4 linked regions of the Drosophila melanogaster genome follow. The protein of the gene in region 3 interacts with the protein of the main gene of each other region in a pairwise test. Each region holds a gene or a part of one and is shown on either strand. Other genes may lie near its edges.

Region 1 (11,289 bases), on a different chromosome or scaffold from region 3:
GCTGATTGATTTCAATTTCATACACATGCATACACATAGATACATACATATGTACATATGTACTAACAGGCTGTCAGATGGCCTTGGCTCGCTTTTCACGCTTTTCCTCCAGACATTGCACCCCACTCGAATGCAGCCACTGACATTAATGGTGATTAATGCGAACGGAATGCAATTAAATTCCGCCGTTTGGTCGTGCCATAAATTATTGTGATTTCGCACTGTACAAAAACCAAATGAAATGTGAATTCAAAGAAGAAATAGAGATATGTACAATTCTTACGACAATATACGAAAACCCTGTATTTGGTTATTCATTTTGGTTCAACTATACCGTTATGGCAGAAAGAGATGGCAAGCTCAAATCGACGTCATAAATTTTGCTTTGCAGCTTTGAATTTATTGCGTGGCGAATGCACAAAAAACGCGAATTGCGGCCAACGCGAGAGTACAAACACCTTTAGCTCTCTCTTTCCCGCACACACACTCGTAGTACACAATGGCGGGCAAATTAATAGGGCCTAAGGACTTAAAAAACCAATTTAAAAGCTTACGAACGAAAAATTTGTGGTACTCTTCAGAATCTTTTTAGTTTTAAATACGAACGCTTAGTGACTATATTTCGTGATAATTTCTCATTATAAACGTGTGCTTCCGCTGAGTGCATTCAATTTATGTTGATTGCGGAGATTTATCACTATTGATATAAAAAATAAACCTTAAAGCTATACTTCTCTTGCAAATTGAAAAAAAAAGAATTTGGGTTGGAAAATTTTAAATTTATATCGACGCTGTTTATTAATATCACCTTGTGTGCTATTACTGTATCCGGGATTGTACGCCTGAGCTCTGTTGCGTTACGTGAATGCGAGTGCGTGTGTGTGTGTGTGTGTGATTGCAATGCGAGTGCAGAGCCATTAAAATCTTGAAATTGCATGCTAATAACCGTACCAGACCGCTAGTTAAGTGGGCAAATATGTTGTACATGCTTGTTACTAAATGCAGGCCATGTAATTTTCCATTCTGCCAGCAGTGCCATTATTATAGAATATTGTATTCTTGATTCGCTCAAGAGAGCAGTGCCAAATGCTTGAAATGGCAAAGATTGCAACAACTGGCTAGTAACTAAAACTAATGTGTCGGTTTTGTGAAGAATGTGTATGTATGTACATATGTCTGTAACTAGTGCTATACCTAACCAACTAACTAATTTGAAATTTTAGCATCTATTGTATTTGCTATGCTCTTGCTTAAGATGTAATATGTAGTTGTTTTTTTAGGCTCTAAGACATCAACAAATTGTTTTCTGTAAATCCACATCCGTTTGATTAGGAGGATGAATATGGGGTAAATGCGAACGGTGGCCAGCATCAATCATCATCAAACGCCCAACGATCGTTTCGCTCGCCGGAAGTCGCAGCCAATCTAATGTTAAGTGCCCACTCCACTCCACAGCTACACATTGTAGATACAACAATCACTAGTACGACGAATAGCACACAAATAACGACTAGAAAGCATTTTCCGAAATGTCCGCCGCGGGCGATATGCACATGTGTGCGCCCATTGAGAGACCGACGAGTGCCCACAGTGAAGTCTCTCAAATTGCTGCGGATGATTAGCGATGAAAGCGAACATGGGAAAGCACACTAATTGGAATGGGTCTTCCACTTCCTTTCCGATCCACTTCACTTTCTGAACGCATACCAAACCTCTGCATCGAATGTAATTAGAACAGTGCGGACTCGGCCAAAAAAAAAAACGTTATCATACATACTCGTAGCTTAGATAAATAGCCATCATATGGTTGCACTTCAAAATGATGAAGATATTTACCAGTTCTATAAATGCGGAGTCATCATGCCGTCTAGGGTAACGTTAGGCGCCACTTCTGCTACGAAAATTCCTTTATTATCGAGGGTTCACTGTGCGGGAGCGGCCCTTGTCTAATGGAGAAACTGTTGCATCCGCAGCTCGAGGCTCGAATGCTGACTCATTCCATCCATTTATGAATCTTTCCATCTTTCTCCGCTTTTCTTTACGGTTGAGAATTATCACGCCATCTCGGCCCAAAAGGCACCCCCTCTCCACAACAAAGCCAATGTAGGCAAATAAAAAGCTTTTAAATGTTTTTTTTTTTGTTTTACATTTGTATTTTTAAGAGTTTTTTTTTGTTTTGGTTTTTTTCTGCTACTCTCCGCTTGAGAGTTACAGTAGAATAGTTTTTTTTTTTCATCTTGCTTTCGTACAAAGTTTTTAAGGAAATATGCACAGTATTTGTTGTTGTGGTTTTTCGCATTTAGCTGCTTGGAGTTTGGTTACACTCCGTACAATATACACAGTTTGGTTGTTCAAAATAGAATTTCGAAAATGGGGGGGTCTCTTAAAGGGGAAATAATTTTGCCATAGATACGAAGTTTTTATACATAGACAGTACATACAATTTAAAATGTCACATCGATAATGTACATACAATAAATATGAGTACAGTGTGTGTGTGTGCGTGTGTGTAAAAGTGTGCGTGGGTGGTGTGTGAATGAGAGGGGCGAGGGTGTGTGTGTGTGTTTGTTTGTGGGCTAAGAAGAATTTTTAAATAATTTCAATTATAATTACATTTAGATAAACAAAATAATAAAATTGTTTTTAATAATTGAGATCATGACACAAAGTAAATTGTAAATACTTTTGGCACACGCGTGCATCTGGACCCGAAAACACGCTGAGAACGCTTGAATTGGTTTGGGTTGGGGTTTAGTCTATATATAGTGGATGCATGGCGCTGTCGATCGCTTGTCTAACATTAGCACATATCCATTAACTTAATAATTTCCATTATAAGACCGATATCGCAATGCATCCGGATATATTACTATTATTAATTATTAATCATATATTTTTTTTGCCTGTTTTTGGCCGTGCACGCGCGCCGATCTTTTCTGGGGTTGCTTTTGTTGTTGTTTCTGGTTGGCTTTTATCCATTCACTTAATCATTTGTTATGCAACAACATTTTTGGACCGTCAAGTCTTGGTTTAAAACAAACGTACAATCCATACACAAAAGTATCTGTGTATGGCGGGGGTACAAAAAAATAAACAAATTATTTTAGAAATTAAAATTACATTTACAATTAATATCATATATTGCAATTATTGCTCCGCCAGGGGCTATTTGTCATCGTCATTCTGATCCAAAGTTACTGCTTCTGATCTGCCAATTCGCTAGTACCATTATCCACAATCTTATTATTAATATTCATGTTGCTGTTGTTGTTGCTGCTGCTGCTGTTGTTGTTGTTGTTGTAACCATTCTTGACGTTGGGTTTCGAAATACCATTCACGGTCTTGCGAACATTGTACATGCCTGAAGAGATAAGAAAAAAAGGGGGTAAACGTTTAGTATTTGGCATTGTAAAATAGCTAAATAAAATACTGTGACTAATCAGGCTGCAAAAGGGAAATGGGAAAGTAAAATTAAAAGTGCAAGCGTCATTACTACTGCATACGTGTCAGTGGGTGTTTCGCTTTTTCTTCTTTCTTATCGCCCTGGAATTATGCACACTTGTGCAAGTGTACAGTAAAGTAAACCTATACCTGATCATCGTTGGCCGATATACTAAATGTCATGGCCACAGCGATAAGTGCTAATGGCAGAATGCAGTCGTCTGGAGTGTATTAAGTTCAGTCGATCGTCTTCGACTTGCATTATGAATCCATGTGAGATTGTTTCATGACGTCAAAGTAAAATGTGTATCTTTAAGCAATCTAAGCATCTAAAAATAAACAAATCCTGCAATGATCATTTTTTACTACTCAAATATATATTTATTATTTGAGTACTAAAAAAAATGTCACAAAGAATGTCATTTCAAATTTCAGAAATTCCTCTTTGAAAGCTAAATGTCAGTTTCAGTTAGAGAGCTGCGACTGTACTTCTATCAAACCTCTATCGCTTGGCAGCTGCGGTTGCCTCATCACGTAAACCGCTAGAGCTTACACGATCGCACAAAGACGCTCACCAAACCGCAGACACTGCGCAGTGACCTAAAAGCTGGAAAGCTGAACAACAGCAAAAACATGAAGGCCCCAAGTCTAGCTTACATAACCGAATACTTAAACACACTCGCAAAGTAATTTGTCTATTATAATTAAAAAATCATGTAGGTGCTTCATTTAGAATTATAGAACTATGAATTCCAACGAAAGTATCTTGCTATTACGAAGCAAACTTATCATTTCGAAGTCAAGATAAATACATACAGTTAAGATTCTATGCCAAATGTATCCATTAAAGTGGAACGAAAAGCGCAACAAGTGAAATAAGCCTACTTTCTGGACGATACAAACGTGTTCCTTAAACTCGAAGCCCCCCGAGAAAGAGAATGGAAATGGCTGGCAGCCAAAGAGTCGCGCTGCTTCTGGCGATATAATCAAATGTACAGTTATAGAAAATTATAAGCCAGCGACAAAGAACGTCAAGCGAAACAGAGGAGAAGAAGCAGAAAGGAAGGAAAAACGGCAAAGCGATCAAGTCCATTGTAAAAAGCAGGTGTTGAGAAAGAGAAAGGGGGAGTGTGAGGGCGGTAGTGCGTTTACCGTTATCATTATAAGCACGAAGCTCCAACTAGCTCTGTCTCGCTCCATCTTGCACAACAAAAAAAAAACGCGTTTTGTTTACGAAATGTGTGTAGAGAGAGAGGCGGCGATGAAAACAAAGAACTCACATTATAAATATTTATGTGGGAGCCCAAAAGAGAGTTTCTGAATGCATAATTAGAAAACATAAATTTAGGGGAATATCACACACATTTTTGGGGCGTGGCGAAGAAGGCCAAGCAAAACATAATCACGAAAGTCAAATAGACCGCTTAGAAAACTTAATTTACGTGGTAAAAAATCCACACATGCAAATGATAATGAAGATGCTGTAAATTGTTAGTAAAAATATGCAAAATACCGTAATATGAATTATCATATCATAGGAATATGTATGCATTTCCTATAGCGCGCCAACTGGGTGGTAAAAGTACAGTGGTGATCAAAACATAGCAAAAAAGAATATAAACAAGATAGGAATAAAGGCCGAGATAACAGAACTTTTGTCTAATTGATTTGTTTTTGTTCGCTTCGCTTTTCGACCCGTTTTTGGACCTGCCACACAGTACAACAAAACACAACATTTGGCGCTGCTGTACTTACGCGAATTGCGTTCGTTGGTGTGTGTGACCTTCACGACGAGTTTTTGAAAAACATCATCAACGTGCGTGCGTAGTTACTACTACGCATAATAACGCACACACACTCGCACACGCAGAAAGCTTATCAGCGAAGACGACTAAAAATAAACACGAAAATAATAAGTTCGCGCCAAAAACCAGCAGACAAACAGAGAGAGAGAGAGAGAGAGAGAGCGACGACTCTGACTCTCTCGTCTTTCTTTGATAATGCATAAGTGTGCGTGCGTTTGTGTGGAAGTGGGATGACGTCGTCGTATAAGAGCTGTGGTTTTCCTCTGGTTGAGATTGCGTTTGTCGTTGTGGGTGCGGCCTTTTCAACTAACTAACACAACTACAGTGAACTCATGTACAGTCGCAGGTCTGTGTAGCTCATTTTTTGTTTTTTTATTTATTTTTTTTTTCTGTGTCGAAACTGCAGCAGGAATAAAAACAACAATCAAGAAAACCAGAAGGCGTTGATTTAAATTTAATTGAGGCCTCTCAATTAATTGCCTTTGCATTTTACTCATCTCATATTCACTTTTCAGCTGCAATCTCTTTTCGCAAAATATGGAAAGATTTTTGGCGCGCGATTGTTATTCAACAGTTTTTATTTTTTGTTTAGCTTTTTCGCTTTGACACACTGCCAAACCAAAGACAAACTGGAGACCAGCTCTCTTTCTTCCCAGCTCTCCCTCTCTCACTGAATGCCACGCTATCGGCGGAATATCAGCGTAAAGTAAAGCAATAATAATAAGCCAAAAATTAAAGGTACAGTCGAACGTCCATAAGTGATGCTTAATATAAACAAACTGGTAAGTTTTTTTTAATAGCGTTCATCTTAAATCTATTATTAGATAACAATGGACTGCATTAATAGTCCCTTGTCTTGTTGCTAAAACTTAAGGCAATAGTCGTAGAAACTTGTACTGAATCTTTAAAATTTCATAATACAATGATTTTGAATACATTTATTATTTCAAATTATTTGAAATTAGAGAAATTTATTCGAATTCGATTAAGCAATGGGGCCAAACAATAATACTTTTTTGAGTTTTCTGTTATTCATCAGATATGTAAATGTATCCCAATTCACTTTCGAGTAACCAAAGAGATAAATCCCTACGCACGTGAATGAACGAACAAAGAATCGGAAAAACTAGCCAAAATAAAGAGAATAAAAACTGGTAGGAAAGAAGTGACAATAAGAATCGACGCAGAAGGGGAAAAACGAAATTAGGAAAATCAGAAAATAAGGGTGGTTTTTTTTTTCAACTAAGGGGAGGAATTTTATAAGGGTGACGACTGTGGCAAAGGACGAGCACAAAGCAGAGACTGCAAGAGGAAGGAACAACGGAAAATGCAACTAAAATCAGGTGTCTGCTTATTGGATCATCTATATAAGAAGTACATGGGATCTTAGTAAATAGAACATACGTACAAAAACCGAGGAAATGTATGAGATAATTCGAAGGAGACTTTTTTAATTTTAGAGATTTCACTATATTCTGATTCTGCTCTGATTCTTTGGGAAAATTTAACAATAACTTGAAAGTATATTAAACTTAATAACTTGGAACCAAAGAGTAATCATTATTCGTATATTTTGAGCAAGCACCCAGCGTTTCAGGTGAAACAAAAACATGCAAATCATGGAAAAAAAAAACCTACCTTTGAGGCCTTGTGGCTGCCTCGCATATGGCTTTTGGCCATGTCGCGTGCAGTTGGCCAAATCCGCACTGCCGTTGCTTTTTTTGCGATCGCTTTCCGGGCATTTCTGAAGGATCAGCTTTGCGCTGGCGGAGATCTGGGCGGGAGTCAGGGCCATGCCCCTCGGCGCTTGGCTGACTGCCTTTGGATTGCACTCATCGGCATCGGTGCTGGATATCGTCCTTGAGGTCGGATACCGCATTCCGCGCAGGACCTGACAATGGGCATCCGTATCAGCATCCGCATCCGTATTCGCATCCGCATCCCGATTAGATTCCAGCTGGATGTCATATCCGTAGCGTTCCTTAACGTATAATCTCTGCGTGTGCTGCTCCTGGGCCAACAGCTGATCGATATTCGAGTCCCCGGGAGCGTTATTGAATAGGTTCCGACAGATTCTCTTCTTCTCCGATGCGCTGGGCGGTGGGCGTGGCACGGGGGCGGCGAGAAATGGGCCCAGGGCCATTGGCGGACACAACATGGCTATGGTTTTGTATAACTTGTTTTCTTTGTTTAAACTTTAGGTATTTTTGCACTTTTTGGTTTATTGCTTTTGAAGTATTCTCGCTTTGTTTCTTCTTTCCGCTTTCACTTGAACTTTCACAGCGATCACTGCGCGAAACTCACGTACGCATTTTAGGCATTGCAATTGCAGTTTAAATCGGTTTTCTATCGCTGGCGAATTTGTTGTATGCGTTTCTTTTTCTGTATCGTAGAGAGCTAGCTGAACTTTACGACTTTCACGCGAGCCAAAGAGAGCGAAAAGAACGCAGCTGGAGCAAACGCAAGCGACCGAATTGGTGGAGAGTCAAAGACTGAATCGCGCAGAGACCAGGGATTCAGCAAGTTATATAGCTTATATGGCGCAGTGTGACCAGTTGCTCCCGCATCGATAACGCTTTACTTTCGCTTTTGGCCCGCCGAAACGGTCACTCTGCGCTCTTTCGTGACTCTCTTCAGCATTTTTACGCTCTCTTACATTTGGGTATCATTAACATTAGGGTGAAATGCACAGAAAAACATACTTGAAAGTGATCTAGAAAATATTTCAAAAATTATACATCGAAGCTATAATATTCAATATGCTTATAATATATGTTTATTTCCATAAAAATTGTTTCCTAGCACCGCTATTGCACTTTTAACTGCAGCAGTTTTGAGAGGTGGCGCGAGTAGGGAACATCTCTGGCTACTGAGATGACGTCATAAATTACATTTACTTCCTTGATGTTCAAATGAATTGAAGTGAAATTTTAGAAATTTAAAATTAAGAAAAATATCATATCTCCAAGTTCGTATTTTTTTTTTTACTCAAGGTTGGCCATCAAACTGAATTGCATTGCAAGCAAACATATGATGAATTCCAAGTAGTTTATAAATTAAATCGATGACATCATAACACCCAATTTGAGATGCCAACATGCAGTACCTCAAACACAATGCCACACCTCACTATTAAATGTATCCCATGCAAATAGAGATTCCTAGCTCAGAATAATGCAGTTGCTCATCTTATACTTACGATATTTACATGTAACAATTACGGAAAGTGAATCCGTTTTTTGTGTGCCAATTATAGGCCGTGTAAATACAATTAGTTATGCTAGGGACTGCTGGCTCGTTGCTATTTACCTCGCACAAATACTGAGCTAAACGCTAACTAACTGATATGTTAGCGCGTTTTGGGCCCTAACTCAAGGTCGAGTCGGGCTTCATGCGGCATTAAACGGCCTAATTGGCGGCCAGACGTGGCTAGAACAAATTGCCAGCGACAGGAATACGAAAAATTCAAAATAGTCAACAAAAAATCATAAACAACTTTCGCGCCTGCGGCGGCAATTCAAGCGTATCTCGAACAAACGAAAGTGAAAACCGCATAGAAATAGAGGTAGTAGGTTGTAGTAGTGGTATTGGTAGTAGTAAATAATGTGGACCACAAGTCATTTCAATTTCAATAATGCTGAGTCAGCCGAACCGATAAACTGGCCCCCACTCCACTGGTGGTTGGTTAGGAGGCGCAGCTGGTGTTACCTCGAATCGGAGGAGTCTTCAGGCCCATTTCGTCTGGCTCTTTGACCGATTAGTCATTTTAAAGAGTGCCCCGGACAAAGGACGCGCCCAAAGGATTGCGATTTATTATTGTTTTCAGGCGTACAGTGGGCCCTCGCAAAGGGATACAGATGGTGTCTGTATTGGCTTTATAAGCTTTTATAAGAATTTTCGCCAGAATGAATAAATGTTTTTCTTTCTTATCATCTTCATATGTAGTATCTGCTTTACAAACAAATGTATTGTTTCTAGAAGGGATACCAATTGAATATATTCCTAGATATATTACTGCAGATTATTCACTTATTACTTTCATGTATCGAACTAAATAAATCTCAGCAACTCTTAGTAAAAGTTTCGCGTTTCCGGAGATTACTGTATAGAAGATTGATATCCCTTCCTCATATATTTTTTGGCGCGATGTCCAATTCGGATTGGCAACTACCTGCTCGCGAGGTGAATGAGGGGTTGAGGATCGGATGGGATGGGATGGGATAGGATCGGATCGGATCGGGTGGATCGGTGGCACAGGTCGTGTCAGAGTAGGTCTGTGCAAAAACCAACCCTCGCGCCAAAAAATCCACATAATGACGTGGCACTCGAGAGGGTAACAATGCAGTTGGAAATGTGTGAAAGTTTCAAAAGAGATTTCCATTCTACCATTTCAACAACTGCGATTCAGCTTTGTTTTTTTTTTAATATCTCGTAGCTGCGCTGATTTTTCACTGTCGAATGCATGTCGTCGCGTATATTTGTATCTTTCAGATGTTTTCTGGGTACGTGTCTGGGTCTACTGATGGGCTACTTTTCCGTCGTCACTTCCGCCGCACGCATCTTGTCTGCGAAAAACTCAAGCTGTTTTCCGCCGACTGGCTGGCAGAAATTAGTTTATGGGCCACGTACCATGTAACCCCGGCTCAAAAGGTCAGAAACCATTGAATGATAATGAAATGAATGAACCCAGGAGCCAACGCAACCGATCAATGGAACTGTCGCACGCGCTGCGCATAAGGTTAACTGCTGTTTTAGTGTCGGAACGTAACGCAGGGAGTTTGAGATACACCGAGGTTTTCGTCGTTTTCCGTCCGTGCTGACGTCACGTTCGTCTAATTAATAAATGAACTCATTAAGTAGTAGCCCGGGCTGTGTCCCCTCATTTCTGCTTTCTCCTCCCCCTGCCAGATGTTTTCTTTTCCATTTCATTTGTTCTTGCTGTGTGTGCAATATGCAATATGGGCGCGCGTGGCAGCAACAACAACTGCAGATCCGGTCGCTTGAAATAAATCTAGCAGATACTTTGTTTGCACTGCCACAAATTGTGCATATATTATGGCGCCCAAAAACTTTGAACTTCAGAATTAAAAGAATTCGATTTGCCAAACTTAGTTATTTCCAATGGAATATAAGCAGACAATTAAATTCGTTGAAATCAGTGCGTTGTGGTTTAGTGAGTCATAAAAAAGTGAGGATGGGGTTTACGAATTAGTCGACAAATGCTACGTTGAACTGTCTTGATAGCAAGCATAATCAGGGATTAGAAATTTATTTGCGGTATTGATATATGTATGCATATGTATGTATTTATTTCCGTATATCGTCGAAGCAAGCCCGCTATTTAAAGTGATTTAGGTGGGGTGAGATACATGTATGTACATATATCTATATGTATGCATAAGATAGGGTTGTCTTTAGGAAGTTTGGGGCATGCGATTTTCCTCGTCTTTGAAATGCCTCACAAACGCGCACTCATACAAATGGGGACCTGTGCCGCTGCAGTTGCTTTCCATTTTCCATTCATTTTGTTTCTTTTCTTTTTTTTTTTTTGTATTTTTTGAGGCATCTGTAAATTTTGCGCCAATTTCTGCGGCTGCTGCTGTGGATGTTGATATGTATGTGGCTATGTGGATGCGGCTGCCCTCATCATCGGAGCCACACGGTTGCGAATACCCATACGAGTGCGAATACCTGCTGCTGGTAATTTTGAGCACACATTTTTTGCGCCAAAACCAAAACCTGAATCTGACACAGCCCGGTGCAATCTACCACTCTTCTTCCTCCGCAACGCCTGCTCCATATAACGCATTCTCTCTTCCCGTTTCCGCACTTGAAATACATCCCCATTTGCACTGAGAGAAACTGTGGATATATATAGATGGAATCAAGAACAGAACAATGTATAATTAAACAAATTAATCAATTAGGCTGAATGTTACAAAAACTTAGGTTCCTGAATTTCTTAACAGTGTTATTCCGATGGAAGCTATGTTGTAGCATATATATATTTATTAACATTTCATAATTAAACTGAAATGCAGCT
Region 2 (8,092 bases), about 11 Mb from region 3:
ACTTGTTCGCAGTGGGCAACAAGTGGAGGCGAACTTTCCGAGAAAAGTGTACGAAAATCCTTAAAAAGTGCAGGTATGCAAAGTTTTTATTTCCCATACAAAAGTTTACCAAACACGTAGCCCCAAATCAATCATACGACATGTTGCCAAAGCTTACGAACAGTATTGCTCATACGACATGTTGGCCAGGCTTAAGTTCTTTGATTTCAAATTGTTTCAACCATAACGGAATGGCTTATAGTACGATTATTACTCACTGAATGTGAGTATTTAACTTGTCCTGTATATCGCAACAACTGTACAGTTAAGCAGCGTTTAACAAGCTATAAATGCGAATCGCTTGAAAATGTAAACAACACTCGTTGAGTGCAGATTTCAGGCGCTTTCAAGGTTTATCAAAGCTGTTGCATACCGCGAGATCTGCTGCACTCGGGGCTTTGTTAACATTGATGTCCTGACGTCCTGTCCGTCCCGCTGCACCGACTGTTATTCTGAGCGCTGTTTACTGATGCTGTGGCCGCCAGTGCTTCCACCGCCATTGACGTCCTTGTTGGCCATTAATTTTGCAGGCTTTCGCGCGGCGAAAATGGAAAATGACCACGCTCACTGTCCTGCCGCTGCTCTAGATAAAGAGCGCAGTGGGAATCGAGCGGAAAGCAGCGCTCGATAGTGCAGAGTTCAACCTTTGGCCTTTCCTTTGTCCCTGCGACAATCTTCTGCAACGATTTCACTTTTGTTTTCATTGGAATGCACTTGCAGAAAAATATAGGCGGGAGGAAATATAGGTCTAAAAACAGAACCTATCGATTCAATAAAGTTGCTTATTAAACAGACCAGAGGTTAGTTATACGGATTTAGTTAGTCTACCATTGACAATTTACCTAATCGCTATCATTTAAAATGATATTGTTCTAAGTGCATTGTTGCACTTGTGCTCATTATCGCGATTGTTGCTGCTGTCGCTGTGCGGTGGCTGTTGTTATTTACTTTTTAATAATTACAGCGCTCTGCTGCAATTGTCCCTGACCACAGGCCGAATGGGTCAGACGAAGGGGTGGTGGGGGAGGGTGTGGGTCAGAGAACATGGAACATGGGAGAGACAAGGACAGCACACGGGCGACAAAGATAGCCGGTCGAGTTGATAAATTGCGCGCACAACACAGAGACAAAGAATGCGCCAGCTTACGGACACCCACACAGAAACGGACACCTCGCTTATTAGGCACAGTCTGAGTCATTACAATAAGTTTAACTAAGGCCAATGATATTTATCATATTAGTACATATTAAATTGATTTAAAAAAGTTATATTGTTTTATAGAAAAAGAAGCACTTATCATATACAAGTAATTATTTATATTATTTGTAATTCTATTCCAGACTTTACCATCCACTGTAGATCCCGTGTGCCCATGAAAAGCTTGCCAACTGTCCACCACTTTCGCCCAACCCGCAACCTTATCCACTCACCCAGCATCCCGGGCATCCTTGGACTTTTCCCGGCGATGGTCGAGCAATTTAATCAGACAGCAGAGCGCAGAAAAGCTGATAATACCGTTATGAATAATTTACCCACATACGCACACACATTCGCTGATGGGAAGTGAAACGCGTTTTATTATTGTTTCTGGACCTGTCTCTTTTGGTTTTATTTATAATTAATATAGCTGCGCCAGCGTATAATATAAAAACATCGCATAAAAGCACTTGTTGTTTGCACTTTTGCTTTCGAGCCTTTAAGAAGCTGCGTGTGAAATCGTTTTAATTAGGTGCGGTAACTTGTTGCGGCTGACCAGTGGAAAACGGAAACTACAATTTGGGAGCGGGGAATCCCCGAATGTCATATTCACCTCAGATATTTGCCGCTGTGCCGATGTGCTTTCTGTCAAAATCAATGTACATCCCCACCGCAAATATCATGAATACAAGATGTTTGCGGTGGGGACTAATATCGAAATTTTGTCTTCGCAGGCGACCGCAGTAAATGAAACAACCAGAAATGAACAATTTACCAACCAAGTATGTCATTTAATGGCTACCCTGATGTATTTAGTTAGAGAGACGGTTGGGATAATTAAATAATTGGCTTAATGAAAATATACTTTCAAGTGAAATCGTTTTATTAATCACACAAGGTTCTTAACTTAGATGGAATATGATATTTCAAATATTTTTTTTTAACATGTCATGCTTCTTCAAAAATTATGTGCTTAAGGATGTCAATTTATAATTTGCAATTAAAGGAGGTTAATGACATCTCAGCGCAGTCTTTCTTAATTATACTATACTCAAATATGTTCGGCTCTTTTGTAATGGCAGATTATAGCTTGGGCTACAATACTTTGTTCATATGCATTTCGGACTAGTTTCAATCTCAGAGCTAAGCTCAAACTACAGGATTAGGTTCCTTTAAGCGCTCAGCTCGTTTCCCCCTGCTTCTTCTGGAGAACCACAGCAATCTGGAGCGCCTTTGAGCTGTGACCACATCGGATTCCACATGGATGCAGTTCCTTCCGCCGGACACCTTGACCAACTTCGTATCCAAATCCAGTTCGCTGGCATTGAGTATTTGTGCGACATGTGCCTCGTCGATTGTGCCTTTGAAGATAAGGGGATAGGGCCACTCGTGGCATATCGTGGGTCCGCTATAGTCCCGCAGAGCCTCGATCATCCTGTCCAGGCGCTGCATCTCCTCGTGGTCGTCGTTGAATTCGCGCACCTCATCCAGCAAAGCTGCCACATCGGATTCGAGCACCTGCGAGGTGAGGTGGAAATTGGATTAGCGGGAAATCGCTTATTTTGCTCGATTTGCACTGCGGTATCCAATGACACAATGACAGTGACGGCGTTACGGTCAGTGATAGCCTTACTTTCCCGCCGGCTGAGCTATCCACCCATCCAGGTCGCCATTCCGGACCCCCTTATTCGCGCCATTCATTCGGCGATGTTGGCTCGGATTTCAGCTCTAATATCTTTCCAAAGGCCTCGTCACTAGCGTCTCTATTAGTGCCAAATTAGCCAAGCCTAGGAACACGGCCAACTAAGCTCATGTTGGGTGCATGTTTCGAAGGGGTGAAAAGTAAACCCTACCCCAAACACTCTACACCAAAAAGGTAGTTATCAAAAGTTAAAATCAAACGAAGAAGCTGTAAAAATAGTTTATCCATGTATTGTAGTTAAAATACAATAGTTAGGGAAGTTGGATTGTATATTTAGTTAGACAATTAATACCGGGTAATCATCCTGTGCGGAAATAACTTTATACTTATTCATCTGGCCATGACTGTGCCATGCATTGCGAAACCGTTCGTTTGCCTATGGCCGAACCGACATTGTCTAATTAGCGGTGCTAGTAATCACTGCAGTCCCCAACTACCCCCACGTCGCACCCCCAACCCTCTCTGACCCGTCCAACATTCTAACATTTCGTTCCCAATAACTGGCTATAATTGCATTAACATGTTCCAAATCGCTGCTGCAGCTGTTAACAGAGTTGCCGGTCGCGCATTGTTGAACAACAGGTGATAGCAGGTGAAATGGCAGCAGAAATAGCGATAACAAATTACAATGGCTAAAAGGGGTTAAGAGATATAGTCGGTTGACCATTGTTAAGCTAAATGCTAAGAGTTTGTTGACAAGCTTTCATTAAGAAAAGCATGCAAAAATGTGACGTTACTTTTATGAAGATTACGTATACGACTAGTTGAAGACGGCATTTAGTAAAAATGGTAAGATAATTTTACTGCTACTAGCTTACTTAATGCATTACAATTTAATTTTTGTATCCAAATAAAAGAGCTATTTTTAGAATGAAAGCCGAAATGAACAGAATTGTTTGTGAAAGCACAGATAATATTTCGAAAGTGATGGAGCGATAACAGAAGTGGCACAAAGGCCAGATAAGAAGGAGATTATACAGACAGAGGCACAGTTGTACATATATACCAGATATAGAATCTGTCAATGTGTTTGCAACACTTTAAACCAGCAACAAAAGTGTAACTCTGCGGCCAAGTGGATTACGCTTGTGTGGTAAAAACAATTTGGACAGGGAAAGAAAGGGAAGAGGTTCGTCGATCAATTACCAAAAACTCAATATGCAGATTAATAACACATTTTAGCACTTGACGAACACGACCGCGCAAACTTTCCACGCTGCGGAGCAGTTGCCTCCGCCGCTGCACCGCCGCACTAATTGGCTCCGTCATCGCGGCATCTGTGATGCCCTGAATGTTTTATTTTTTGATTGCCCACCGCCGGCGACACTTGTCCAATTTTCGGGTGGTTTTTTGGACTTTTACATATAGCACTAATTCGTGTTTGTTGTTTTCCTTTTATTTATTTTCTGTAGTTTTTCGTTCGCTGCCTTTGTTGCTGCTCTACATGTTGCCGCGGAATTCCGCTCGCGAACAGCGCTCGCCGTTGACTGAAGCCTCTTCTTTCAATGAGTAAATTGTTTACGTGCGTCAATCAGCCGGGCACTTGAGTGTGTGAGTATATCTGTGTGGGCACACACTCAACCAATACCCATACACACACTCGCAGTGCAGGAACAATTGGTGCAGTTCCACTTCTCATAGCCACTCAAAAACATCTCAAAATCGGCGGCCACAACCACGGATCCCGCACCACGGACCACGTACCAGGGTTCGGAGCCCGGGATTTGGCTTCCGGCTGTGCGTTGTGTCCGTTGGGTCCGTGGTGTCTGGCCAGTGAGGTGTCTCCGGTGTTTGGTGGTGAAGGGTACCAATAGAAAAACGAAATATCAGCTGTACAATTTATTCGATGGAACATATATTTTGAAGCCACAAACATTCATTTTTGTCTTTGACATTGGCATTACTTATTTTAAATTTTTGGTTTGGACTAGACATAAAATATAAAACGCTACGAAGTGGGGTAAAACCTTGGAACACAGGCTTTTTTAAGAGGTTCCATCATCTCGCGTTTTATCCCAAAGCGGAGCGAGACAGGCATTAAAGATTTATGAGCCATCCTAGTAGCAGGCAATGTTATTATGCAACCATTCTTTCCCCTATTTTTTCCATCGTAATAGTATGCAACACTTGAGTTCCCAATGTAGCCACGAAGTATGCAGCATTTCCCGTATTCATATGCAAGCCGCAATGATTTTAGAGCTGCTCGTTGACTTGGCTTTAATCGTGCTTTTCTTTGGCCCAGCTTCATCCCCATCACCATCCTTATCGAAGTTCCCTTCCACAACCCATTCTGCTGAAAGCCAAACAAGCATCAGCAGTTAGCCATTAAAATTTTAATTTTGTGCACCATTTGCCACCATCTTGGCCCACTGGGCACCGATTCCATCTCGGCAACGTCATAGCCATCGCCATCGCCATTGCCATAGCAATCCCGTCCAAAGCCCTTGGCTTGAGCGATTATGTTGATGGCCAAGTCGAGGCTGCTCACCTGCAAGGGCCACGCCCTCCTCGCCGACGCTCCTCCGCCTCCTTCTTGTCGATAATACGCTCAATTCAATTTGCATATTCAGTTGTCCAATGAAGCGCACACCACACAGAAGCGTTGCGATCCGTCGTCCTTCCAGCTTCCAATTCAATCCCTGCCCCAACCGGTGGCACGACCAAGCAAATGGTCTCTTTCTGGGCCATCCCGGTTGTTGGCCACTTGAAAGAGCCCAAAATGTGCCGCTGACAGCGGCGCACGCATGAGCTACCTGAACTGCTCCAGAACAGCTCGAGCACTGCAAGAAAATGCGGATAAAATATAAGTAATAGTAATAATTTTTCTAAAATATTTTATTGCGATTTAAATTTAGTTACCTAACAGTTTAAGTGAAGCATATCATATTTTCAATTCGAACTAAACTAATTCAGGATACATTTTTCGCAATGCACTTCGAGTTCCCAGAACCAGATCCTGCTCCGTGAATCCTTCTATCCTCGAGTCGTCCTCACCTGCTGTTAGTCCATTACGTTAGCAATTTAACTTACGCCACGTAAACATGATTATCATCTTAAGCGCAGTGTGTGTGCGTGCGGTGCAATGTGCGTGCAGCGGGTGGGAAAACTTCGAAGCCAACTGCGGACTGTAAGCTCGTTGGCTCGCTGTTTAACAACTTTCAATCTGCTTAAAACTGCAATTAATTTAAACGGTTTCTTTTTTGCCCCATTATATCCGAAAACAGTGTTCTCGGACTACCGCCACCCAATCGCAATCCGGATTTCAATCCGGTTAGAGTGCTCCCGCCCTAATTGAGCTTGTCAGAATCAGCCATCAGCAGGCAGAGCGTGTTTTGGCCAGGACACCTGTGAGGGATTCAGCTCCCAGTCGACACAGGTGTTCCGTCCAGACCTTGGATGTGGATCTGCCCTTGTCACCAGCATGTGGTCCAGTGGTGATGCTGATCCTGACGAAGCAGATTGCAGCTGATTGAACCGCACGAGAAGTCGCCCACGTCCACATCACGCATATCCCTCTTTGGAGTTGCGAGAAAATTGCAACAGCCGCTTGATTTATTTGGGGGCGGAACCAAGTTATAACTTGTGGGCGTGGCTGCTATGCAACACCATTTTAGGGCACCGCTGTGTTAGGTATTCCTAAGGAAGAGAGTGAGGAAGGGTATATTTGACATCAGGCCACAGAAATTGCCAGCATGTTTCATCCATTCCTTTAAACATATTTAATTATCCTTACCTTATAACTTTTGTATTGAAAAATAGTTCTAGCTTAAAACATTATACGAGGGTATTCACCAGCCGCCCAATTTTAGTAACCCTTCTTATCACTCTCACTTGTTTTACCACTTGACAGGGTAAATACGAAGCCGAAAAACAAGGACCAAAGTCCATCAGACAGACAGTGAAAAAAGGAGAAAGCTCACTCACGACTACAACTGCATTTATGCAAATATTAATATAGATATACTCACAAACACACACACACACACTCTTACTGTCGGGGCAGATAGACAGTCAGACAGAAAGAGAGGGCATCACAAAGTACCGTTGACAAACCCATTATCAGGAAAACAAACCGGAGATTAACTTGGCAAAATGTCTGCAGACGTCAAAAAAATCCAGAGTGGCCAGCGAGTGCGAGCGAGAGCGCAGCATTTGGATAACCACCGCATGCTGAATAAAATATGAGCACACACATGGACAGATGAAAATGGAGCGAAAGAGACGGCGAGAGGATGCAGACACACGCATTTGGTCCTGCAAAAGTGACACATGAGCGTAATAACAGCTAAGACCTTGCTAAGCATCCGGCAGTCAACAACCACTTGCTGGATGCCCATCCCATGCACATCCATACCCACATCCTCATCCTGGCCTCGTCCTGGTTGCCATATCGTCCTGGTCGAGCGCGTAGCATCCCCTCCTGGTTTTCGGGCCGCCGCTGCACTCAGCGTGATTACAAATTATAACGTCTGAGCAATCGCCGCCAGTTCTGCGACTGTGTGTGTGTGTGTGTGTGTGCATAAAGGGGCGGTCCCAGTTACCGCCCATAGGAAATATAACTCCTCAACTTTTGTCAGCCATACTGAGGAAAAATGAAGAGCAAAGTTGCTGAGGAAAAAAAGTAAGGGAACATCAAATTAAATTAAGAGAACTATAATTATTTCACATTTATCAGCAATTCTTTTCGACACGTTAAAAAGAAATTAACAATAATCTATATCTATAATCTATAGAGATATATATTTTTTTAAATAAGAAATTTAGGAATTTTAATTTAATTGCACAAAGCATGCAAATTTCTACCAATGATTGAATATATTTTTCTAGTGTATCTCGATTAAGCCGCCGGCTGCGTTTTTGCCTTTGGGTTGAGCGTTGGTTGGCAAACGGTTAACGAATTTGTTGCACGCACCGCTCGCCAGATTTCCCTTCGTCCTTCGTCCTGATCCGTCGCGTGCCCGTTGGTGGTTGGCCAGACAGGATGCCCGGGCTGCTAACCTTGCCCCTGGTTGGTCCTTCCATCCCCTGCTCCCGGAGCATTGCAATCCCGCCCCGTCATCCCCTGCTGGCAGCCGCATCCGCTTCCCCTGGCCTCTGCTTAGATAATTTCGTTAGCTTGCAGTGCTTTCGCTGTTGTCCTAATAACTTAATTA
Region 3 (6,134 bases):
TAACTCACATGTCAAACTCTGCAGCAAGCATATATTTTTAGTGAGAAACTATATTTGAAAGCTAACCGAATGCAAGAGGAACCGGAACCTATAAGTTAACCACAGCTTCCACACACTCACACACAGCTAATGCTAATGGAAAGCCACTGATGATATGGACAAGTGAATGTCGAGAACCTAGAGCAATATGTACAACTCAGAAATAATTAACTTTATATGCTTTGCTTCGATGTAAACCATAAAATTAAATGTTAAACGTTATTTGAGAATCGATTTGCTCGCGGGATAGTCACAATTTGAAATTGAACATAATCAAGCATACAGATAGAATATATATATATATATATATATACAACAAGTTGAGAATTTACCAGTTATATTTTTTAAATGTTGTAACCGAAAAGTGTCCATTTCAATTTGATGCATTGTTAGACGGTTTTCTTTTTAGACAATTACTTGGTTAATAGGATTTCGTTTTCGGGTTTCGTATGATTTCTTGTTTGCTAGAAGTATATGCTTATTTTTTTTAGTATACCTAAGTTATTTATAAGAGTTTATTCCAATCGTTTAACTTTGAAAGTCTGAGAAAAACGTTTTAAATTATTTTTGTTGTTGCCTATTGGCATTCTTACCACAGAAGCATTCCAAAATCTGTTTACTTTACGCATAAGTTATTGTATAGTTTAATTATTATAACTTTAAATATACATTATTTACAAGAAACTCGCGATAATTTATTACAATTTAGCCTTCGCCAGCAACTAAGAGTCTCACCTAAAGTAATCACGAATCATAATTAATTTGTTGAACTTTGTTAATCAATGAACGCAACACTAAAAATGAAAACATAAACATGTAAAATATTTCGTTAGAATTTGAACGCGCATGATTCAAATATCAAACACTTTGTACATGCCACCTGAAAACTGTCCAAAATCCTGCCGTTAAAGCCAAGTACATTCAACGACGGCCAACAGCGATTAACAACAATATACGATTTACGTTAACGAGTTCTGAACTTTGCTGCGTCCAAGAGATCACTACAGGCAAATACATTTTGAGCTTTCCTTTTTGTAATTGCTAACGATTGTAAATTGTATATTTTTCGTAGATTTTGTCAATGATTGATGACGTATTTATTTACTTGTGCACACGAAGAATGAAATTGATTTAGATTAGTTCCTGTAGTTCCCGGTATTTATGTAAGACTTGTATACTGTATTCATGCTGCCTTAGTTTTTTTTTGTTTGTCTTAGAAAAGCTTTTAGAAATATCTGGCTGTTCTATCGACCCTTTGGTTTCATGTAGGCAAAGTCACAGTTTTTAGTTGAGCACTTGTAAATTGTATAATTTTGGAAACCATTTGCCAATGTTTTGTACTCTAAAGACTAATGTAATCCTTTTACTTTTTCAACAGAGCATCCGCCGAGGACATGCGGGCAGCTGCTCAGCAAACCTTCGGAGGAAACACACCTGCCCAAACCAACGATCGAGCGGGGATTGTGAACAACGCCCAGCCCTTCTCCTTCACCGGTGCCGTGGGCACGGACAGCAATGTGTGATTCAGAAGCTAGCTGATCGGGATTTCGAGGAATCGAAGAGCTGGGTGTGCCGTGAGAAAACAAGACTCAAAACGCAACATTTGAAGGGCAAACCTAACCAAGAGAACATCGGCAGGCAATCATAAACATAATCATGTGCAATTTCTGATTGTTCAATAACCAACGCAAATGGATAACAAAAGTTTTTAAATCCGATTAGCTCTGATCTCTTTCTAGAGCAATCCAAATTACTCGATCAGAAAGAAGCCACCCAAAACAAGATCATTAAATTTTAAACCATTTTTGTATTAAATGTATGTAAATGTATATTGGTTTTAAAAGCGTTTTGCGTTTTCTGTATCCTATTAATTAATTGTGTTGCCTGTGTCCCATCATTCCAAAACATTTGGTTTCAACTAAGTAGAAATTGCAAATAAATTATTGAACGACATCACTAGCGAGGTGAAAAAAAAGATCATGTAAAATTTATGTTTAGTCATAGTTTAAATATACCTTAAATATATTTAAATGCATAATACTAAAATGTTTAAATTAATGCAAATAACACTATAAATATTGTATGTAAACCATATTAAAATTGAATTAAAGATACTTTAAATTATGTTAAATAAAATTAATTATACAAATCATCGTTGTAATCATCGCTAAAATGTAACTATTGTGGGGCATGCTTTTTGGATGATTCCTGAGCTGCGGTATCTTTTGGGGGAAATAAAAAATCAGATTACGCTCACAAATATCGTATAATTTTAAAACTTTTCGCCATAACAACAAATACTATTTATAAAAACAAAAATTACAAAAACTGTTAACTAAATGATTAAGATTCATTGGAGGCGCTTTCATCGGAGACGCTTTCATCGGAGGCGCTTTCATTGGAGCCGCTTTCGTAGCCTTCAGGATACTCGATGATCAAAATTTCTTCGGATGCACTGCCGCTGTCATCATCCGCGGCATCGTCATCATCATCATCATCCTCCTGCAAGTCGTTGGCAGACTCATCCGAGTCCTGCGAGAATTCCCAACGGAAACGACGATCGCTGATCACATCATCACCCTTGTCCACAACATCCGAGGAGAGACTGGCGGCGATCACCATGGCGATGATACCTAAATTGGATAGACTTGGATGATTTGGTATCCTTTTCGTCGGCTTCCTTTTCCTAACTCACCAAAGAACACGAAGAAAACCTTGTTAGACTGCATATTTGATGATTGATTGTAGCTTGAGATGCTTTCGATGCTGAGTGAGCTTTTGGCTTCGGCTTATATACTAAAATTTTGGCAAGTGCCTTGCGAATCGTCTCTGACCCAGCAGACTGTGTTTGACTACCCCAAGATCAACGAAATGCCCCAAAATTCTACATAGAAACAACTAACAAAATATTAGCATAGCTATTGAGTTTGAGCGATCAAGGTCAGAGCTTTCGGGGTTTGCTGGGTGATTTGTGTTGTTAGAACCACGCTTCAATGCTGTAAATTGGGTTGCAAATTAGGTGGCAGTAAAATATCTTAGAGATACACTAATTGAATATACTTAATATTAATATAAAGGTCCATACAAATCCACACACATGCCTTCTAAATCGGTAAATGAGTGTTTTTTTTAGAAAAAAAAAACAAATATTATAGACATTTTAATTACAGTCATGCTTTTCATTTAAAAGGGTAGAATTTTGGAAATATAAGTACATTTTCCAAAACTGAAAGCTTATTTTGTAGCAAAAACTATTTATGATCCTAACTAGTTTTAATATTGTGATTTGTTTTTTATTCATTTAATTTTAGTTATATAAAATGTAAGGTCACAGCTCAAAAGTATGCAGCAGAAACGTATGTATGTAAAATATTTTGTATAATACACGCGTATAAGTAGAATTCCGTGTATATTTGAAGTATAAGAGCAGTTTGCTTAAGGCTTTCTGCTTATAAGTTTTCAAAGTGTTTTCACATGCTTTTAAAGCGTATTAAAAAGTGTAAATGGTTAGTTCTCCTCCTCGCAAGCATCAATCCAATCGTTGAACACATCAATTGCCTCCGTGAGATAGTTTATATGTGTTTGAAAAAATTCTTGGCACACGGTACAGGTAATTCTTCCTATTTTTTTCGCCTTATCTCTATGAATACTATGAAATTAGCGGAGTAAAACCAAATTTTGATTCCTACTCACAGTTTCGCTTCACATGACTGCTTGTGATTGCAGAATGGACAATCGAAAAGAATGGGCAGCGGCTGAATATTTTTCTTTCTTGGGGCTCCTTTGCGTTTGGACTTGCGACGACCCATGGCAGAAGATCAGAAGATACGATATATTTTAATATTTTAATTGCAATTTTTTAATTAATATGCTCTTGCACACTTCTGACTCCACTTTCGTCAAATTATATTTTTGACAGTCGTTACTGCGGGTTCTTTTATTATGATTACATTTTAGCTAGAAAAAAGCTGTTTAGCTAGGTTGTAAAAAATCAACGGAGATATAAATCATTTATTTGATGTTTTTAATTCCATACTCAAAAAGCGTAATAATGATTTTATTACACGTAATATATAATAATAATACATTTTAAAATACGTAATAAGATAATAATACTTTTGGGAATTTATATAAATATAATTTTAAAATTATATCCGTTCAAAACTAAAAACATCCTAATGTGAACTCACTGATTTGTAATAATCTGTTTAATACTCCTTTGCCGCTTCTCTGTTTTTGTGTGGGGTTTCCAGTTGAATAATTTCAATGTTGATATTGATCCGTTTGGATAGCGAGGATCTTCAATTGATTGAGCCCACATAAGTTGAGCATCTGTCTAGAGATCCTTTTAAGAAATACCTTGGGATCCCTCCTTTTACGTAACTCAATGTAGCAGAAAATCCCTTTGTCGCCGCCATTGTATCTCAGCAATCGATCGTGAGCCTGCTTTTGGGGCAAAGTATCGATTACGCAATTCGATTGAGCAGGCAAAATAGGTAATTCGGTGCCCAAAGATGTGGGTCAAGTGTTTGGGCAGAGAGTAGATTTCCGATGAAACGACAACAGATATGGACATGTTCCCACATCGCATAGCCAAGGAATAACGCAGTGAAGCGCTTTCAACATACCGAATTTGCTCTGGCTAAAGCGCCGCAGGACAAAACTGTGCGATGACAGCCAAATCTGTTTGGAGTGTTAAGGGATTTCTCTGCTCGCAGCGTGAATTGTGAGATGGTCCGGTTTTTCGGGATGCCTGCTGCTTACCATATTAGCACCAGGACATCAAAGGACAGCTGAATGTGTCAACAGTTCTTGCCAAAACGCTGTCGGCGAGTTGAGAGAGTCGACGTTCTGTGCGCAAAGCCAGCATGAAATTTGTACTAAAGTTGGCAGCAGGATGCCGCATCCTTGCAGGATGCCCATCTGTTTTTTAGCGGCATTTATTCCATTCGCCATGCTTTTCGATACTGCCTGCCTGCCTTACTGGTTATGTTTTCCGCCAAATGGGATTAATTCGAGATTTTTCAAATCGAGCAGCGAGTAAAAGTCTTAAGACTTTGCTTCCGCTTTTACCCCTCCTTTCTGCCAAATGCCATTGTGTTTAGGATCTGCTGCTCCTTTTTTTGTTCTTTCTCTTGGCTTATCTCCACTGCTCACATCTTGGCCAGCTGCTCAGCACCGTTTGCCTTTTGTGGCTTGACCATTTCGCTTTGTTGTTCGGCTGCAACTTCAATGGGTCCGGCCAGGACTCACGTCCTTTGTCCTTTTTGTCCGTTCATTTGCTTAAACGCATCTTATCCTGTTAAAATGTGCACTCCGGCTTTCCGTTTCGCTGGAAAATTGATCTTTTTTGCAAATTTCCTACTCAGCTTCTGGTCTTCTGCTCCTTTCAGGACGCTCTCGAGTGCACACTAATTGAGATTTTCCTCCCTTTTTCCATTATTATTGCCGGTAATGCAATACACGCGTTCCGCTTTCAAGTCGACGACAATGGAGTTCGAAAGAAAAGTTTTTGGAAAAGAATTTCAGAACTAATCGGGCATTGTAAGGTGTTCTTTGGTTTGTAGTATATCCCATATTATTTATAAAATATATATTTGTCAAAAAACTATTAAAGGAAAAAATGTTAAATTCTATAATATATAATATTCTAAAAAACCAATTTGATATTGAACAATAATTTTAATAGGTACCTGATCTTAATAATATCTAATCCAATGAAATGCACACCTGAGCGAATTCCAAAAATACTCTATATAGAATTAAAACAATTTAAAAGCTGGATAGAGCATAAAATTTCTGTTCGGCCAATTAGATGTTCTAAAAGCCATGAAATTATTATTATATTGTTTGGTGCCTCTTTAGGTGTCCCCATCCAATTAATATTTTTATTTCGGTTCCATTTACATGTTCGTGGCACACGCAGCGCATTCATAACCATATTTCATCAAAAATTCAAAGCGTTTCCCCCCGAAAAACATGATTATTAATTAAAATTCCCAAATCAAAATCAAATTACGAGTAAAACACAATAAAAAAATGAGGAACATGAATAAATTTCCCCAGCAGAAATATACACTTTTTGTTGATTGGGT
Region 4 (6,266 bases), on a different chromosome or scaffold from region 3:
TTGGATCTTTTAAACCATCATCTCATGTTTAATGTTGCTAAAGACCACATTCGGAAGTATGTTTTTAGCTATTCAGCTATACGTTCCAACTAGAAACGACAGCAATACCATCAGCTGTTGCTGCTTCTTCTTCCTTCCACCAACACATTTCGCTTTGCATAACAGTTTGAATCAATTGTTTAGTTAAAATAAATCAATTAAAATGTCGAAGGCAGCGGGTAAGCTGAAATCGCTAAAGAAGACGGTGGAACGTGTGACGCACACGAGCAAACTGAAGACGAATATACCTGCGGGAATGGCTGCTGCAGGTCCGCCATTGGGACCGATGTTGGGACAGGTGAGTTAGCCGGCTTTAAAACTAAAATATGTATATAATTTTGTTTTTAACCACACACAGAGAGCGATTAATATCGCCGCTTTCTGCAAGGACTTTAATGCCAAGACCGCGGAAATGAAAGAGGGCGTACCGCTGCCGTGCAGAATTTCCGTAAACAGCGATCGCAGCTACGACTTGGCCATCCACCATCCGCCGGCCACATTTTTCCTGAAGCAAGCGGCGGGCATACAAAGGGGCACCATGACTCCTGGCAAGGAGGTTGCCGGCATGATCACTCTCAAGCATTTGTACGAGATTGCAGCTATTAAGATTCAGGACCCGCCCAATGTACTTCTTACCATGCAGGTCGGTATTCCGAAAAGTTTGAGATATAACTTCGACTCAAGTTTATGCCTTGTCTCTTAGCAAATGTGTGAGATGCTCATCAGCATTGCTCGGACCTGTGGCATCAAAGTGGTCAGGGAAATAGATCCGGCGGCCTATGGCGAGTTCCTGGAGGAGCGCAAGTTAATTGTGGAACAGCAACGGCGCGAGTTGCAGGAGAAGCGGGAAGCAAAGATGTTGCGCACGGGCTAGATTTGCTTATTTGCACTGTGCTTTTAATTGTTTAAAATACATTTATACTTAAAGCGTAAGTCTTATTCTATACCAATGCGTTTGCGGTCCTTGGCGGCGTTCTTCTTGCGTCGCTTTTCCATGTGCTTGTTGAGTTTTCCAGTGTTTTTCAGCTTCTCGAATTGGGCAACTAGTTCCTTAGCTCGACGCTCCTCTGTCGGAAAAAAAAACAAATTAAAATTTGATTTCGCTGTCGATCAGAAACGTACTCTTTGTCAGATAATGAGGTTGTTGTCCCAAATCGTGTTTCTTCTGAATGGCGGAGCGCTCCTTTTTCAGTTGCTTCTGTTTGGTGTGCCACTTCTTGTCCTCCACATTTTTATTGATAAGTCGCTGCATGGTGTCCTTTATATGGTGCTTCTCCGCCTCATCCTCCACTTCGTCCAGTTTTTTCTTCAGCTGACCAACTTCCTTTGCTCGAATCTGGGAGACAAACTGGTAGTTCTTCTTGAAGGTTTCTGCACTATATGTTCCGGATTTTTCGTCAAATCTTGGATCTCTGAGTTCAACATTTTTTTTCCGCTCCACTCTGTGCTCGGCGCCCAAAAATGGAACCTGTCGTCTGGTGGTCATTTCACGAGGTCGGTTTTTGTTTAGCCGCTTGAGGTCGGTTTTGGCCTTTGGTTTTTGGGGTCTAGAACTCTTGCTACCGAGCACAGCCTCTTTGTACACCTTGGCGCCCAGCTCCTCTTTTAGTTTCATTATCTCCTCGAATGACATTCCTTTGAGATCTTCGCGAATGGCATTCTAAAACGAAGTTCTCGCATATGTAGTAAACCATATTTCTGTATAGTTGTATTACTTGTACCTGAGTTTCGTTGTCATCGCTAGCCTCGTGCTCAGAAGCTGAAGAGGATTCACTGGGAGAGGACATTTTTGTTTTAGTTTTCGTTTAAAATTTTATTTATTTACTTTTTAAGAAATTCACGTGTGATTGTTTGGGTTATAAACAGCTGACTGCTGGGCTCGATAACGATACGTTACGATAAGCGCTGCGATACACGTTAGCCAACACTGAACTTAGTTAACCGCTTTATTTGAATTTATAGTTCAAACTAAATATTTGCATGTTATACACTTAAGTTATTGTTTCCTTTTTTGATAATATAAAGTTACCCGTTTAAATAAAGAAACATTTTTTAGAGTAATTCTCAATGGTGTGATTTATTTTTGATTTAATTGCAATTCTTACATAGTAAGGTAAACAAACGTGAATCTTTTTTTTTTCAATCTAAGGAACAAAAACAAGCAACGAAATGACCAAGAAATATACACAATTAATACAATTGTCACAACTAAATCCAGAAATGGGTTTAGATCGGCTCGTAAAGTTGTCTGGATTTTGATTTTCAGGCGAGCGGCAGAGTAACTAGAAAAATAGTTGTAAAACTTGATTTTTGTTGACATTTTATAGTCAATTTTGATTAGCACACGCAGACCAATAAAAAATTAATCAAAATGCCCTTAAACACGTTAATTCTAAGCAATTCAGTTATAGATACATTAGTCAAATGTAAATATTTTATATAGGTTCCGTATATGTATAATTAGTTTATATTTATGCTCTATAGTATATAAGTAGTTTGCTTTGTACACGTACACACATTTAAAGTAAACTTGATTGCAACAACTAGGAGAGTGTGGGACCGGATTATTCATATTAACCGAGTGCGATTATATGCCAAATATCTATCGTATTCGCATTTTGCTTGAGTTCGAGTTCAAAAATTGACTGCTGTGTATCTTTAAGCTAATATTTATATTTATACAATCAAACACAGTACGAAAAGTATTATCCATTTATCTTCAATTGCTGCCTTATGTTCCATCTTTTTTTCGAGCGGTTCGATCAATCAATATTTGTGCTGTGCTCACAATCGTGTGGGAAATATCATATAATATTGCTATAGTTTGCTACGTAAATACACACCTCTGTGCATACAAATATATGTATATTAGTTAGCTATAAAGTAGATTTCAAGCCGATCACAGGCGAGGACTAGTAGTGATCCCTATCTGACTTCCTGATGCCCAATGCCCGATGCCTGGTATGTAGCCTCAAAATTCTTAACTAGGGGTTTCGTACACATAATAGTATCTCATACGTTTGTTTGACTAGCACGATTTTGGTTAGGGTAGCTACGTACACTCTTAGCTAGTTGGTTGGATTCCATCTACTTAGTTAATTAGTTTAGTTTCGCGGTTTTTAATCACCTAAAAGCGACAGACAGATAGTTAGATAGATAGGTCGATAGATAGATAGATAGATAGATAGATAGGGAGAGGATAGTATCCGACAAAGGTTCAACCCGAGGGCTTCGCACCTGCGGGACCGTAAATAGATCACATATTTTGACATTCACTTATGCTTAATATTGCAACTGCATTTGCTTCTGCCTAATGCTCATTCGCTTGTATATGGGTAGTTATAGTACTTAAAACATATATCAAACATGTACATATACTCCTGCCTTCGTTCTCGATTACGATTAGATTTGATGCGTTTCTTGTTAATGAAATTATACATGAGTTTCCAATTCTTCTGTTTCTATAATATGTTTCAATTAAAAGCACTTTTTCAAGTTTCTGAAGTTTGATAAATAACTTTTGTTTACAATAAAAATTTACATTTATATTTAATTTTGTAAAATAGGATAAAAGAGAATAAACTATTTTATCCCTGGTGTAGCAGGGACTTTAGTTTCAATGTCTTGACATCTAAAGCAAAAGTTATTTTATTGAAATACATAGTTTCACAAACAAAAACATTCAAACCAAACGAAATCGAGTACCAAATCCTGTAGTAGATGCAGGTGGAGCACAACAAGATTTTTAATGTGAGTTTTCAAAACTCCAAAATCCAATTAGAACTCGGTCATCCCCCCTCCGCACTTGTGGTCAGTCTCACTGCCCGTGGTGCTGGAGGGAGTCGCCATATTCTAATTGGACGGCTTTCGTCATAACAACGCGCACAGTTTGGAACGCTTTTTGGACTTGTCCACCATCTGGCCGCCGGCAGATGAGGTGGAGGACGAGGCGGACATGCGGCCCATGCTCCCGGAGGCCTGCGGCTGCGAAGGACTCGTAGGACTTTTGTCATCCATATCCTCGCTGACATGGGACTCAAGGAGCTTCAAGGAGGTCTTCGGCTTTGAGCCATCCATGCTGTTGTATAGAGTCTTTGATAGCTTCGATCGAACTGCCTTGCCCAGGGCTCCGGTCTTCTTCATGCTCAATCTGGAGCCACTTCGCTGGTGCTCCGGCGTGTGGCTATCCTCGCTGCCATGCTGAGATTGCTGATTGCAATTTAGCGTGGTCACAGTGAACTCGATATCCTTGATTTCTTCATCCGCACACGCGGCAAACTCCTCCACGGGTTTGTCAATCGTATCGTGATCGATCCATGTGAGGCCCATTTCCACTTTCTCGGCCAGATCCTGCCAGTTGCGTCGGTTCTCCAAGGTTCCTTCATAGAGCGGAGTGATCCAGGGAAAGGTGTCGCAAAGCACTCTGTAGAGTGGTAGACAGATCACGTCGATAAAGCCCACCTGCATCTTGGGTAGCTCGTCCTTGCGCTCCCTAATAATAATTAAACATTTTAAGCACATTTTTCTTGAGATTTTCCTAGTAAGTTACCTGTCCATCATGGCGACTGGTTGGGTGTTAAGCTGCAGCTTTTCGAGATCTCCTTGGTCAAAGAACTCATCGGCCACCAACTTGGCAACCTTGTGCTGAACCTCCCAGGGCTTGGCAATGGCACTCACATCGCAAGCAGTCATCATCATGCCACAAAGCACTAAGATCAATTGAAATAAGGTATTTTGTTAAGGGTTTAATTATAAGAAATACAAGAATAAATCTTAAAGCTAAGCCAAACTTCAAAAATGGGTAAAAAATTGTTAACACTGGGATCAGCATTTATTTGGACTCACAATCTTTCTTCTCCTCGCCCTGCCAATCGAATTCCCCATTTTCCACCAACTCTAGGAAAGCGTTCCTTTTCTTGAAATACATGGCCAGATCGGTGGACAGAATGGCGCTTTCCACGGTCTTCATGACTGAACGATAGTCCTCAGGTGACAAGGCCTAAAAAAAAAGCGAATATTAACATGTGCATTTGTTAATTCCGCTCCTAGTAGTTATTTCATACTCAACAACTTCTATTCAAAAACATCTGTGCCTATGACGTCACCGTACTACTAGACATGTGCTTAAAATAAAGTTCACTCCCTATTGAAGTCAAGGTTGAGTCAACTCGCAGATATTTTGTTAAACAAACATTTTTGGTGATTTGGGGGTCGCTACCTAATCTCAATTTCACTATAAAAGTTGTATTTTGCCAGCAGAAAGCATATCAGTTCTCAATAGAAACATCCAACATGAAGTTGTCCCTTGTTCTCTTCGTCCTCTCGATGGTTTTGTATGTGGCCCATGTCAGAGCTGCTGACAGCAGCACAAGCACGGAATCGAGTACCAGCACCACGGATAGCACCACCACGGAATCCACCACAGAGTCTACCACATCGTCGTCCTCTTCATCTAGTTCGGGCTCAAACAAGAAAATCGTGCGTCTCAGCAATCTGAAGTACTCGATCACCAGGAAAATCAGAGTTGGATCCACCACCAGTTCCTCGACCAGATCCAAAAGTTCCCGCGCCAAGTCCCGCAAGGCCCGTCTAAATGCGGCTAAACGATCCAAGAAGGCCGCCAACCGAAAACTCAACAAGAAGTCCAAGAACCGCAATGTACGCGTGGTCCGCGGTTAGGTTAGCCGCAATTATATTTTTAATAATAAATGGTTGAAATTTATACATAAATCATAATTGGCTTATATACTACTTATATACTACTACTATACTTATTAAAATGCTGTGCGCTTACCTGAAATATATTATTTCCCTCCGAATTGAGAATCATTACGCACTGATCGAAGTGATGGTGCTCCATCGTGCTAGTGGTGTACAAAATGGCCAGCGGGGACTCCGTTTTGGTCTGGAATGCATTGTTGGTGCCACGATGATCCAAGTCATGGCACAAACAGGCCACCAACAGACCCAGAATCTCCAGATCTGTCATAAAGCGCTCCATCTTTCCAGTTTTAAGCATGGCGAACATCGTTTGGGCCACGTTTAGAGCATGCCTCCAATTGTGATATTTAACAGGACGATAATTCTTGCGAACACTTAAAACCCAGCGGCAAAGTACCTACATATATAATATTATACAAAGAAATGGATTATATATTTATCATCTTTAAAGCAATTGACTTACATCATATGGTATCTGAAACTGCGAGACCAAATTGCACTGCATA

What was found.
Region 1: the proteins of CG13445 (region 3) and glec interact in a two-hybrid assay, tested with the Drosophila melanogaster proteins (one large-scale study listed by BioGRID).
Region 2: the proteins of CG13445 (region 3) and CG13707 interact in a two-hybrid assay, tested with the Drosophila melanogaster proteins (one large-scale study listed by BioGRID).
Region 4: the proteins of CG13445 (region 3) and CG34273 interact in a two-hybrid assay, tested with the Drosophila melanogaster proteins (one large-scale study listed by BioGRID).

The regions. Positions count from the first base shown.
Region 1 is NT_033777.3:21,848,516-21,859,804, forward strand, and holds glec (gliolectin), read right to left. Parts: upstream 7,752-11,289; 5' UTR 7,405-7,751; coding exon 6,885-7,404; intron 3,362-6,884; coding exon 3,195-3,361; 3' UTR 2,179-3,194; downstream 1-2,178. UniProt on the Drosophila melanogaster protein: Has a role in intercellular carbohydrate-mediated cell adhesion.
Region 2 is NT_037436.4:4,835,693-4,843,784, forward strand, and holds CG13707 (uncharacterized protein), read right to left. Parts: upstream 4,417-8,092; 5' UTR 4,209-4,416; coding exon 4,086-4,208; exon of another isoform or gene 3,232-4,085; intron 3,147-3,231; exon of another isoform or gene 2,871-3,146; intron 2,756-2,870; coding exon 2,387-2,755; 3' UTR 2,099-2,386; downstream 1-2,098.
Region 3 is NT_037436.4:15,806,132-15,812,265, reverse strand, and holds CG13445 (uncharacterized protein), read right to left. Parts: upstream 2,782-6,134; 5' UTR 2,769-2,781; coding exon 2,735-2,768; intron 2,673-2,734; coding exon 2,383-2,672; 3' UTR 2,289-2,382; downstream 1-2,288. Other genes in the region: fwe (flower), read left to right, coding at 1,418-1,562; CG6244 (uncharacterized protein), read right to left, coding at 3,547-3,679, 3,733-3,848.
Region 4 is NT_033777.3:14,511,722-14,517,987, forward strand, and holds CG34273 (uncharacterized protein), read left to right. Parts: upstream 1-5,320; 5' UTR 5,321-5,331; coding exon 5,332-5,718; 3' UTR 5,719-5,766; downstream 5,767-6,266. Other genes in the region: mRpL11 (mitochondrial ribosomal protein L11), read left to right, coding at 203-337, 398-682, 743-913; CG8461 (uncharacterized protein), read right to left, coding at 976-1,106, 1,162-1,699, 1,761-1,826; Pde6 (phosphodiesterase 6), read right to left, coding at 3,910-4,531, 4,589-4,748, 4,885-5,038, 5,834-6,157, 6,224-6,266.